Drosophila melanogaster: one gene and its partner. The protein of the gene in region 1 purifies or fractionates together with the protein of each later gene. This does not show direct contact. Each region holds a gene or a part of one and is shown on either strand. Other genes may lie near its edges.

Region 1 (3,884 bases):
TGGCATGGGTCAGGTGGTTTCAATGGTTGCCCGCCGGGCCAATCGCTTCAATGTCGAGAATCGTGCACATCGCGTCCTCGAGCGCGAGAAGCCAACGCCGGCGCCCAAATTTGACTCGAATTTGAGAGACATGGAGCGCACCTTGGAATGTAAGTAAAATTAAACACCCTTGGAGTGTAATGCTTCATTTTCCCCATTACAGTGGATCCCAAGTTCGTGGACAAGCTCAATATGAAAGACTCCAGCTTGGACGGACGATTGAAAGACGTTTATGTAACCTCGCAGGATCGATTTGTGGGTTAATACCTTAGAAGGTACTTTCGACCAATACTAATATGGAACCTGCTATATGTTCCCTAGATCAAGCGAGTGCAGGAGCGCCAGGCAGCTGAGGCGGCGGCGGACAATGTGGAACAGCGACCACTGCCCCTGGAACGCAAAACGCCGGATGATTTTGAGTACGGATATCTGGAGCCCAACCGCATTAGCCCCGGTCATTGCACACTGCGCCAGGCGCTTAAGTTCATCAATGACCACCAGTTGGATCCTGAATCCTGGCCAGCCAAGAAGATAGCCAATGAGTACAAGCTTAAGGAGCCTCTAGTTGGTAAACCTAAAAGAAAATGTGTTCTCAGAATACCTCAGTCTAACTTTTCCCTTTTTAGAAAACATACTGCACTACTTTAAAACTTTTAATATGTACATACCCGACCAGAAGTACAAAGACACGATGCTAACTCAAGCCACGCAGCCCCTTCTGCGGGTTAAATCGAGCTCGGAGGGTAATCCGTAAATAAATCATTCTTGTTCTTTGTTTTAAACCTACGCTCTATTGTATGAAATCAAACAATGGCATTGGGCGGACAGTAGTATATGTTCAGGGACTTGTCCTCAGAAGCAGAGGCCACCTTGTCGTTTCCGGGGCTATATCGGACGCCCCACACCTGATCTGTGTGCTCGGCGAACGTGTGCAGGCACTTGCGTTCCGAGGTGTCCCATATTTTCACGCTGTTATCACTGGAGGAGCTGGCAAAGTGTTTGCCGTCCTCGGAGAATGCCACGCACAGCACCCAAGATGCGTGCCCAGATAGGGTGCCCACAACGTCGGAGTGGGTTCTAAAACGAGGAGATAGTAGTGCCTGAAAATGTCATAGGTGTTAAGCCACTTACACATCATAAAGCTTCATGTGACCATCATCTGAGGCAGTGAGCAGCAGCTGCGAGTTCGGAGAAAAGCAAAGGCTACGCACTGGCATCGCGTGTCCTTCCAATGTTTGCACTACCTTGCCCGCGGCCACATCGAAAATGGTAATGATACCATCGATGGCTCCACTGGCAATGTACTTGCCATCGGGACTCTAGAATAATACAGCTATAGGATTCTCAAAATGGGTTATTTACCAGATAAAGCTTACGTAGGCAATGCTAAGCGTGTATTTCCCATTTTGGGCATCCAATGTCTGCTCTGCCTTTCCGGTTTCCACACTGTACATGGAGATTTTGCCGTCGTTCAGTCCGGATATCACATATTTGTTGCAGGGTGAAAATTGCACCGTCCAGAGATCAACAGGCCCAAAGCTAAGTAGGTGTTTCTTGTCGCCCGAACGGGCATCCCACAAACACATGGTGGAGTCCAGAGAACTACTGGCAATGGCTGGAAGGAAGGCGGCACCATTAATTGATGTCCATTTCTCTATCTCCCAAGTACAGAATCTTTCAACCTACTCTGTCCATCGGAACTGACGGCCACAGAAACAACTCCCAGGGCATGTCCTTTTAGTTTGTGGCGCAACTTTAGGGTGTTGTCCTCCTGCAAGTCCCACACCTTTACCAAGTCATCCAGTCCGCCGGTGACCAAGAAATCCTTCGGGCGGGCCTCCTTCTTATCGAAATCAAAGGGATTCTCCTCGGGCTCCACGACCGCGTCATCCGGATCTGAGGCCGCAGTGTCGCGTCCCCAGGTGCACGCCCATAGCTGACTGTCGTGCGCATTTTCCTCTTTATGAAGGACAGAAAACTAGCGGAAAAAAGGGATGTATAAAAGGCACAGTTCGTTAAATATCTACTTACCATTTTAAAATGCCGGAAAAGTGTTTATTTTATGCGAACGAGAGCGATCAGCAAATTAGCTGTTATCGATAACAATGGTTGACGTTAGAATTAGTATTGAAAAGGGAGGTTTACAGTGGGTCAAAACTGTTATGCTGAATATGTTTCAATGTGAATAAATTAAACATGGAATTCTTTATATAAATGAAAGAAATAAAGAAGTATAAAACAAATTGACGTTTTTAAAATTTTTTCACAGGTAATATTATATATAACAAAATAATATTTTACTTTATTATATCTTTATTATACTTATTTAGGTAAAAAGCTTAGTTTTTAAGTAAACATGTTATATATTAAATTATTTGAATTGCTATTTATTGTTTTGGTATATTTGCCCATATGGCACACGGCATAATACCACTTTCCCGCCATGGTCACACCATCGGCTTATAGTTGCACTCCCGGCGCGGCCACACTGTTTATAGCCGTCGAGAACCGAGGAACGAACGTCGCGTTTTAAAAAACAAATCCCCAAACGACTCGGACGCGAGATCCAAGCGACTGGCGAGGAAAAGTGTAAGTGACGGGTGCAATTACGTGCCCCACGGTGCAGCCATGCCCGGATCTACCAGTGCGGTTATATAATGCGGATATAGTTATAGTTCTTAGCCCCTCGCGATACGATATCAAAAACAAAGGAACGAATAGGACCAACGCGTGTGTTCTGCTTTTCAGTTTTCGGTTCGTTTTCGATTTTTTTTCATTTTGCTGTCGTCGCCGCCGTGAATTCGAATATGTATGATTTTCTTCTATGGATCCGCGTGTCTGGAATATATTAATAAACATAAACAGTGAAGCCTCGTTCGTTCGTGTGTGTGGGGGCGGGTGTGCGTGAGCGTGAGTGCGAGTGTGTGTGTGGTTGTGCATCAGCATATTATTTATCTCACATATCATATCTTTCGACAAAATCGAAAAGATTCGAATGATTCATTCTTGTGGCAGCAGGACTCGCCGATTTGTGCACTAAACCGAAATGAAAGGCATATAGTTTTGCTGCACTTTCCATGTGTTTTTCGTGGTGTGTTTGTTTTATTGATTCCCACTTTCCCGTTCCCCGTTCTCCGTTTTCCGCCCAGTTTCCACTTCTTCCCCTCCGTACAACATTCATATTCGCGCCTGCCCCCACAACTTCGTTTCCGATTTGGTGTAAACAATAACGGCAACCGGTTTTCGCGTGCAACTTTATCTCCCTAATATCGCCATTCCTCTTATTCTTCTTCTCTTCCTCTGCTCACTTTTGTTTCGATTATAATCGCAATTTGCCGTTTTCAAAATGATATATGCAAACCCTTTCGAATAAATCAAACAGTTCCAACTGAATTTGTAAATTATCAAGGTGAGTCGCCAGCCGGGGATCAATAATGCTATATTATAAGATGAAGTGGAAGATTTGCATGTTTATGTAATCTTATCGGTATTTTATGTTAATTTTCTCACACATGTTGGGATTCATATATCTTAAGAGAGGTGTATTCATTTCATAAAACATTCTTTACTTGAGATTTGGTATATGAAAGTTAGTTATTCGTTTATTTTAACAATACTACAGGCAAACGATGTCTTCTAGGGTATGAAATGGTCCTATAGAAAGAAAGGTAGTTAGGTAGTAGTAGTGACGCTTAAAGATCCGTAAAGTTAAATGACTCTAAATCCCACAGCTTTGCTCCACTTCCATTCGTAATTCCAAAGCAAACCCATCACGGTTGCTCTTAGCCTTCGCACTAATGTGACTGGAGGATAAGAATAAATGTTTGCCCTTAAGAGGTGCTCAA
Region 2 (6,224 bases), 1.0 Mb from region 1:
CAGCACTGATAGTATGATTTATTTAATGAAAAAAGACGAAGTGCAAGAAAATAAACGAAAAGATACAAGAAATTGGCAGCTGTCGATGGGAAGACAGCTGAGAATTCCCCGGCTCTTCACATCGATCGCCGATAGCCGATCAATATACACATAATTAAGTAAAAACTGTAGCAAATGCCAATGTTTAATTAGAAAACACATATGCAAACGGGTCATGGGGAAAAGGCAGTGCTGTTCGAAGGAAAAGAAAAGGGAAAGGACTTCAGACAGGCCAAGGAAAATGAAGGAGCCGTTTGAGGAGCAGTTGTCGTGTTTCATATATATGTACATACATATGTATAAATACCCGAACTAATCCTGCGGACACAAAAGGGAATTCAGGAGAACAGAACCCAAAATTGCGCAAGCACTTGAGAAACAGAGCAATAGTGGAGGAGGTATTCCCATATGTATTCCCAGTCTGCAAGGATCGAGGGTATAGTGAATGTTTGTACATATTATATTGTGGAGAACAGAGTTTGAGGATATGGTTAAAATTACACGTTGACAACTATTCTAAGATACTACTAATAGAATTCTAATACTTCTTTGCAGACAAGATAGTATTATACATCTTCTACATAGCTTTAAAGAAGAAGGTCTTTGTAGATCTTAAAGATTCCCATACCGAGGGTTGCTTGCCGTCCATATACTCTCTTCAAAAAACCTGACTTATTCAGAGGAACTCCTCCATATTTTGAGGATACCTGCGACAGCAGTTGGCTTCATCCCGAAACTCCGATCAAGATCTAACAAAAGGGAACTAGAATGCATCCCATTTGCCAACTGCAACTTAAACTTCCACATCCACTTCCCATTTCCGCATCCTCGCGTGCGTACGCTAATCAAATATCAACATCGCCGAGGAATAACCGCCAATGCAACACATGCGGGGGAAACTGCGTTCCGTTAGAGAAATATACGTTCTGTTGGCCAAATGTTTGCCTTTTCAGGGGGTTTCGGCTTTCACGGTTTTCATATTGCAGTTTTTTCCCGCCCGTAAAATGGAAAACCTCCCTTGTCCCATGAAAAATGCGAGATCTGCGCTTGGAAGATATCTTTTCGGTTACTCCGATGCAAACAGGACATTTGGCAAGTCATAGAAAGAAGTTCCTGGCGGGTTTCCAGCCCACAGCATGTGTCTTTGTCTCAGGGTCAGGGAGTTACAACTCGGTGATCCTACCTGAACCGAGCGCCTATTGGGGTTTACTTATTCTCTCCTCCGCCTTTGTGCGATCCTTCGTCCTTCGTCTTGTGCCCGTTTTGTGAGAAATCATTGCCATAAACTCTATAATTTATTGTCCACAGCTGCATGGGCATCTTGGGTCTAATCGAAGCTGATACGATTCGATGGAGTCCCTGATGATGTGGATGTGTTAAGCAGGTAAGTGCAGTTCTGCAATCCCCGTAAAATACACCTGTAAGGATACGATGTCCATTGCGCCAAGCTTCGCGTCCTACAATCAGACTTATTTTCCTGAGCTGATTTTATGTCGGGATTTGTAGAAATCTTCTTTTTTAAATTTTTACCACCTTATTTTTTTTGACTTTTCGGTAGCCTAAGCTGCTTACTACTTTGATATCTCTATAGGCGGGCTCGGAATAATTGTTTAAGTGTACTTGCATGGGTTATACATCTTTTGCTTTTATGGTCAGTTCTTTGGGGATGACCTCTAATAAATAAAGTTTAATTTATTATCACAACGTTACACCAGTTTCTAAACGTTTAAACGTTTGTTTTGGTCTTTTTATTTCATATGGATAGAATGTGAATGGAAAAGCTTCAAAATCACACGAGCTTTTAAAATATTTTCAAGGAACCTAATAGGAAATATTTTGAAATCACAGATATCATATATTAGGTTTTAAATCCCAACAGAAATAATGTTATAGTTAAAATCAGGTTTTACACCTGTAAGATTAAAATCAAGTAACAAAAACTATCGACACTAACGCGAAACCAGCGAGTGTCATCGCTAAGGGGGATCAGCTGTTTGCCAACATGTGAGTGTGTGGGTGGTGGGAAGGTCACAAACCTATTGGAATGCCCATAGTTTTTTAATTCATATTCAAGCGGGGCTTATAACTGTAATACACTTTACTATAACTTTAGGATTCCATTTTAAATAGAAACTTTACCAACTTATGGCGATTCGGCTTATTTGTTGTAAGGTGACAGACAAGCTAAATCCTCCTTACGCGACATCCCATGTTAAATCAAGCCTTGTTTACTTACCTATTTTACCAGCCGACTGACCCATTGCTTAATTAAAATCACAAATTGCGTGTTTCGCTTCCCGAAAGGCACAAGAAACAACAGCCACAACAACTAGGACACACACAGCTTCTTTGGCATTGAATTTTCACGTAGACCAGCCCTCGCATAAGCTCGATATTATGTGCACCGTGAGCCGATCGTGTGCTATTGGCAGGCTAGCTCACTTCCGGAATCATAGGCGTTAAATGCGATGCATTTTAAAGCTTTGCCTAATTGTTATTTGGATGGAGCTGCCGGTCGCAAGGCTTTTTTTTAGTGTGACCGCGTTAGTATTTAAACATGACAGTCCAGCTTTGCCATCTGCCACACAAGAATATACCATACAATATTTATAAATAAACAAATCACTAGACGCGCTAGAAAAGTCATTTACTTCGTTTATTAATGATGCCAATTCCTGAAGATGTGAAGTGTTCTAAAGAGTTGTCGTTGTATAACGTGCCATTAAGAAAACTAATTGTTAACAAATCACAGGATACGAAAAGCCGTGACTTAGTGCGATATTTTTTAAAGACGAAACTTCAGCGATTTATACCAAATGAGAAGCGATGCACTCTCTATGATATTTGGTATTTTTCACCCCGCCTACGGTCACACTCCACGCAACCTCTGGCAAAAAACTAAAAATATGCCATAAAAAGCGAGAATCGAAGTTGTTTATATATCTTTCGCGGATTACAAAGTGCGTAGCCGCCGCGCGCCTTCCAGAGCGACACCGACCACACACGCCCGCCGCCCGAAAACACACAGAAAACCGGCAGAAAAATGGCAGATCCGCTCAGCCTGCTTCGGCAGTACAACATAAACAAAAAGGAGATTGTCGAGCGAGACAGCCAGATTATCTTCGGCGAGTTCTCCTGGCCGAAGAGCGTGAAGACCAACTATCTCAAATATGGGTAAGTGCGGTCAGGACGACCTGTGGGACAACTAGGATTAGCCACTAACTCTTACACTTTTCTCCCGTCGATTAGATCCGGTAAGAAGGGCGCTCCACGTGAGTACTACACGCTGGAGTGCCTGCTGTACCTGCTCAAGAATGTGATGCTGCAACACTCGGTCTACGTGCGACAGTGCGCCGCCGAGGATATACCCGCTGTGAATCGGCCGGATCGTAAAGAGCTCCTGGCCTATCTGAATGGCGAGACGCCAACGTGTGCCAGCATCGACAAGAGTGCCCCGCTGGAAATCCCCACTCAGGTGAAGCGTGCCGCCGAGGGTGAACCTTCCAGCGTTGAGGTGGCTGCCAAGAAGGCCCGCTTCGAGGAGACTCAAGTGCAGAAGGTGCGCGAGCAATTGGCCGCCCGATGGGATGTCAACCAGAAGGAGACCGCTGTCAACATGGACAACATCAAGTCGCTGTCCGAGACGATGTCCGTTGAGAAGATCGCCGCCATCAAGGCAAAGCGTCTGGCCAACAAGCGAACGACCATTAAAAGGACGGACAATGACGAGGCCATGGGAACTGATTTGCGTGCCATCCTGGACTATGATGTGGACTCCACAAAGGACATTATCAGCAGAGAACGGCAGTGGCGCACGCGAACTTCGATTCTGCAAAGCACGGGCAAGATCTTTGCCAAGAACATCTTTGCTATGCTTCAGGGCATCAAGGCGCGCGAGGAGGGACGCAATCGTCCACAGGTGCCCAATCCCATTAAGATGCCGGAGCCGGCTCGAATAGCCAAACCACAACCGCAGCTCTCGCAATACAACCGTTACGACCAGGAGCGCTTCAATCGGCAAAAGGAGGAGACCGAGGGCTTTAAGATCGACACGCTCGGCACATACCACGGTATGTCGCTGAAATCCGTGACGGAGGGCTCACTGGCTCAGCGTAAGGCGCAGGCTAACAACCTACCGGGAGCACCGGGTGTAATAGCGGGAGCAGCCGCCGGGCGGCCCAAGGAATTGCTACCTGCGGCCCAAGCTCGGCAACTGCCCGCCAATGGTCCATCGAAGCGAACATCTCGCACCCCCATTATTATCATACCGTCTGCCAACACAAGCCTCATTACCATGCTCAACGCGAAGGATATCCTGCAGGAACTGCGCTTCATGTCCACCTCGGATAAAAAGCTGCAGGGCTGCCAGCGCGAATGCGAAGTGCTGTTACAGGTGCGATTTAATGTAACGAATTCTCTTCCAAATGGTTTATATACCAAAAGGTTTTACAGCATTTGTTTCCGAAGATGTATTCAATTTCCTATTAAAATATTAAAGATAAGAGTTGGCATACACCAGTGCTAATTTATTTTCCCTTTTATTCACACATAGCGAAAACGCAACAATCAGACTGTGTCTTACCGGGTGATAGATAATCCCACCAAGCTCTCGCAACAGGAGTGGCAACGGGTGGTGGCCGTCTTCGTTATGGGACCCCAGTGGCAGTTCAAGGGCTGGCCTTGGGAAGGCAATCCCGTCGATATATTCTCAAAAAGTTAGTTAACATCATGCCCAGCTCTCTAAGTTTAATTCACTAAGTCTCATTTTCTTACCTACTGCAGTTTGCGCTTTTCATTTGTGCTTTAGCGAAATGAAATTGGACTCAAACGTGGAGCGCTGGTCAGTGACGCTACTCCGACTATCGCAAAACAAGCGTCATATGGATCGGGCAGTGCTCAGCAAATTTTGGGAAACTTTGGACAAGTAAGTGCTTATATAAAAATCCACCATTTCGTTACAAAAGATTTACAATGCAATCTTTTTAGATATATAGCCAAGTACAAGCCCGATTTACGATATTAACCCTCACCGCATTCTTAAACGTTCTGCTGAAACACGACACCTGCTGTTTTCAATCCCACTCCCAAGTAGTTACCATTATTATAGACAGGCTGTACTACATTATGCAACAAACGACGCAAATAGTATGTTACAGTGTGCGCCCAACTTCCGTAGGAAAGACACCAAGCCGAATCTGGGGCATTTGGCCAGTTCCAGTGCGAGTTTCCGATTAGAGCCCGACCAGGATTATCTCGCTTTTGGCAACAGCATTATAAGTCGCAGGCCTGCGATCGTGCAAATAGGCCCAAATACGCAGTTAGTAGTTAAGATAAAGTTTTTCGTTCAAATTGTACAATGTAAACTACAAAACACAAACATCTGAGAGCAAGTATCCTTTGTATTTTTAGTGATAATAAACAGTTAAAAGCCATTCTGTTTCGGTTATTCAAACAGAAGGTAACATAATTGGAATTTATTTGGCTGTCATCAAGTATATTTTCTCAATTATTTAACCTTTTCAAAGATCATATATTGGAACTTTTTCATACCTCCCATCGTTAAAGTCATAAATCAAACGAAATAGTAGTATTTCATTATTTCTGTTTATATAGCAAAATATGTGGGTTTATGTCATGTTAGCTTGTGGTCAGTAACTTTACTATCTAATATAGGTTTAGGGGATTAAATAAAAATACTATTTCTCGGCCAGCGAAGCACGATAGTTACTGGTGAATCTTCAGGAGGACTTGCGATCATCGAACTGCTTCCTGGCTGCCTTCAGCGTGTTGTGCATCAGCATGGCCACCGTCATGGGACCAACTCCGCCGGGCACAGGAGTGATGTGGCCGGCGACCTGGCGAACTTCTGCAAAGTGATGAGGAAATGAATCAATCTTGTTGGTCTTTAGTGATTTAATAGATCAGCCACACACCTTCAAAGTCCACGTCTCCGACCAGCTTAAACTGGCCAGTGCTCTCATCCTTGATGCGGTTGATGCCCACGTCGATGACACAGGCTCCGGGCTTAACCATGTCCTTGGTGATCAAACCCGGCTTTCCCACTGCGACCACAATGATATCCGCTTGGCGGCAATGGCGAGCCAGTTCCTTGGGCGGTGTATACCTGTGGCAGATGGTCACCGTGGCATCCATTGCCTTGGTGGCATACTTGCCATCCGCGTGCA

The links.
Region 2: the proteins of CG3909 (region 1) and hyx purify together in Drosophila melanogaster (affinity purification with mass spectrometry, with the first as the bait; one large-scale study listed by BioGRID). This does not show direct contact.

What each region holds. Positions count from the first base shown.
Region 1 is NT_033777.3:10,041,536-10,045,419, reverse strand, and holds CG3909 (uncharacterized protein), read right to left. Parts: upstream 2,151-3,884; 5' UTR 2,074-2,150; coding exon 2,071-2,073; intron 2,018-2,070; coding exon 1,726-2,017; intron 1,655-1,725; coding exon 1,416-1,654; intron 1,359-1,415; coding exon 1,171-1,358; intron 1,117-1,170; coding exon 843-1,116; 3' UTR 814-842; downstream 1-813. Other genes in the region: CG11722 (uncharacterized protein), read left to right, coding at 5-149, 203-294, 361-607, 666-793.
Region 2 is NT_033777.3:9,036,880-9,043,103, forward strand, and holds hyx (hyrax), read left to right. Parts: upstream 1-1,880; 5' UTR 1,881-2,043; intron 2,044-2,275; coding exon of another isoform or gene 2,276-2,300; exon of another isoform or gene 2,301-2,592; intron 2,593-2,791; 5' UTR 2,792-3,082; coding exon 3,083-3,213; intron 3,214-3,288; coding exon 3,289-4,432; intron 4,433-4,591; coding exon 4,592-4,754; intron 4,755-4,821; coding exon 4,822-4,963; intron 4,964-5,025; coding exon 5,026-5,062; 3' UTR 5,063-5,470; downstream 5,471-6,224. Other genes in the region: Nmdmc (NAD-dependent methylenetetrahydrofolate dehydrogenase), read right to left, coding at 5,778-5,905, 5,973-6,224.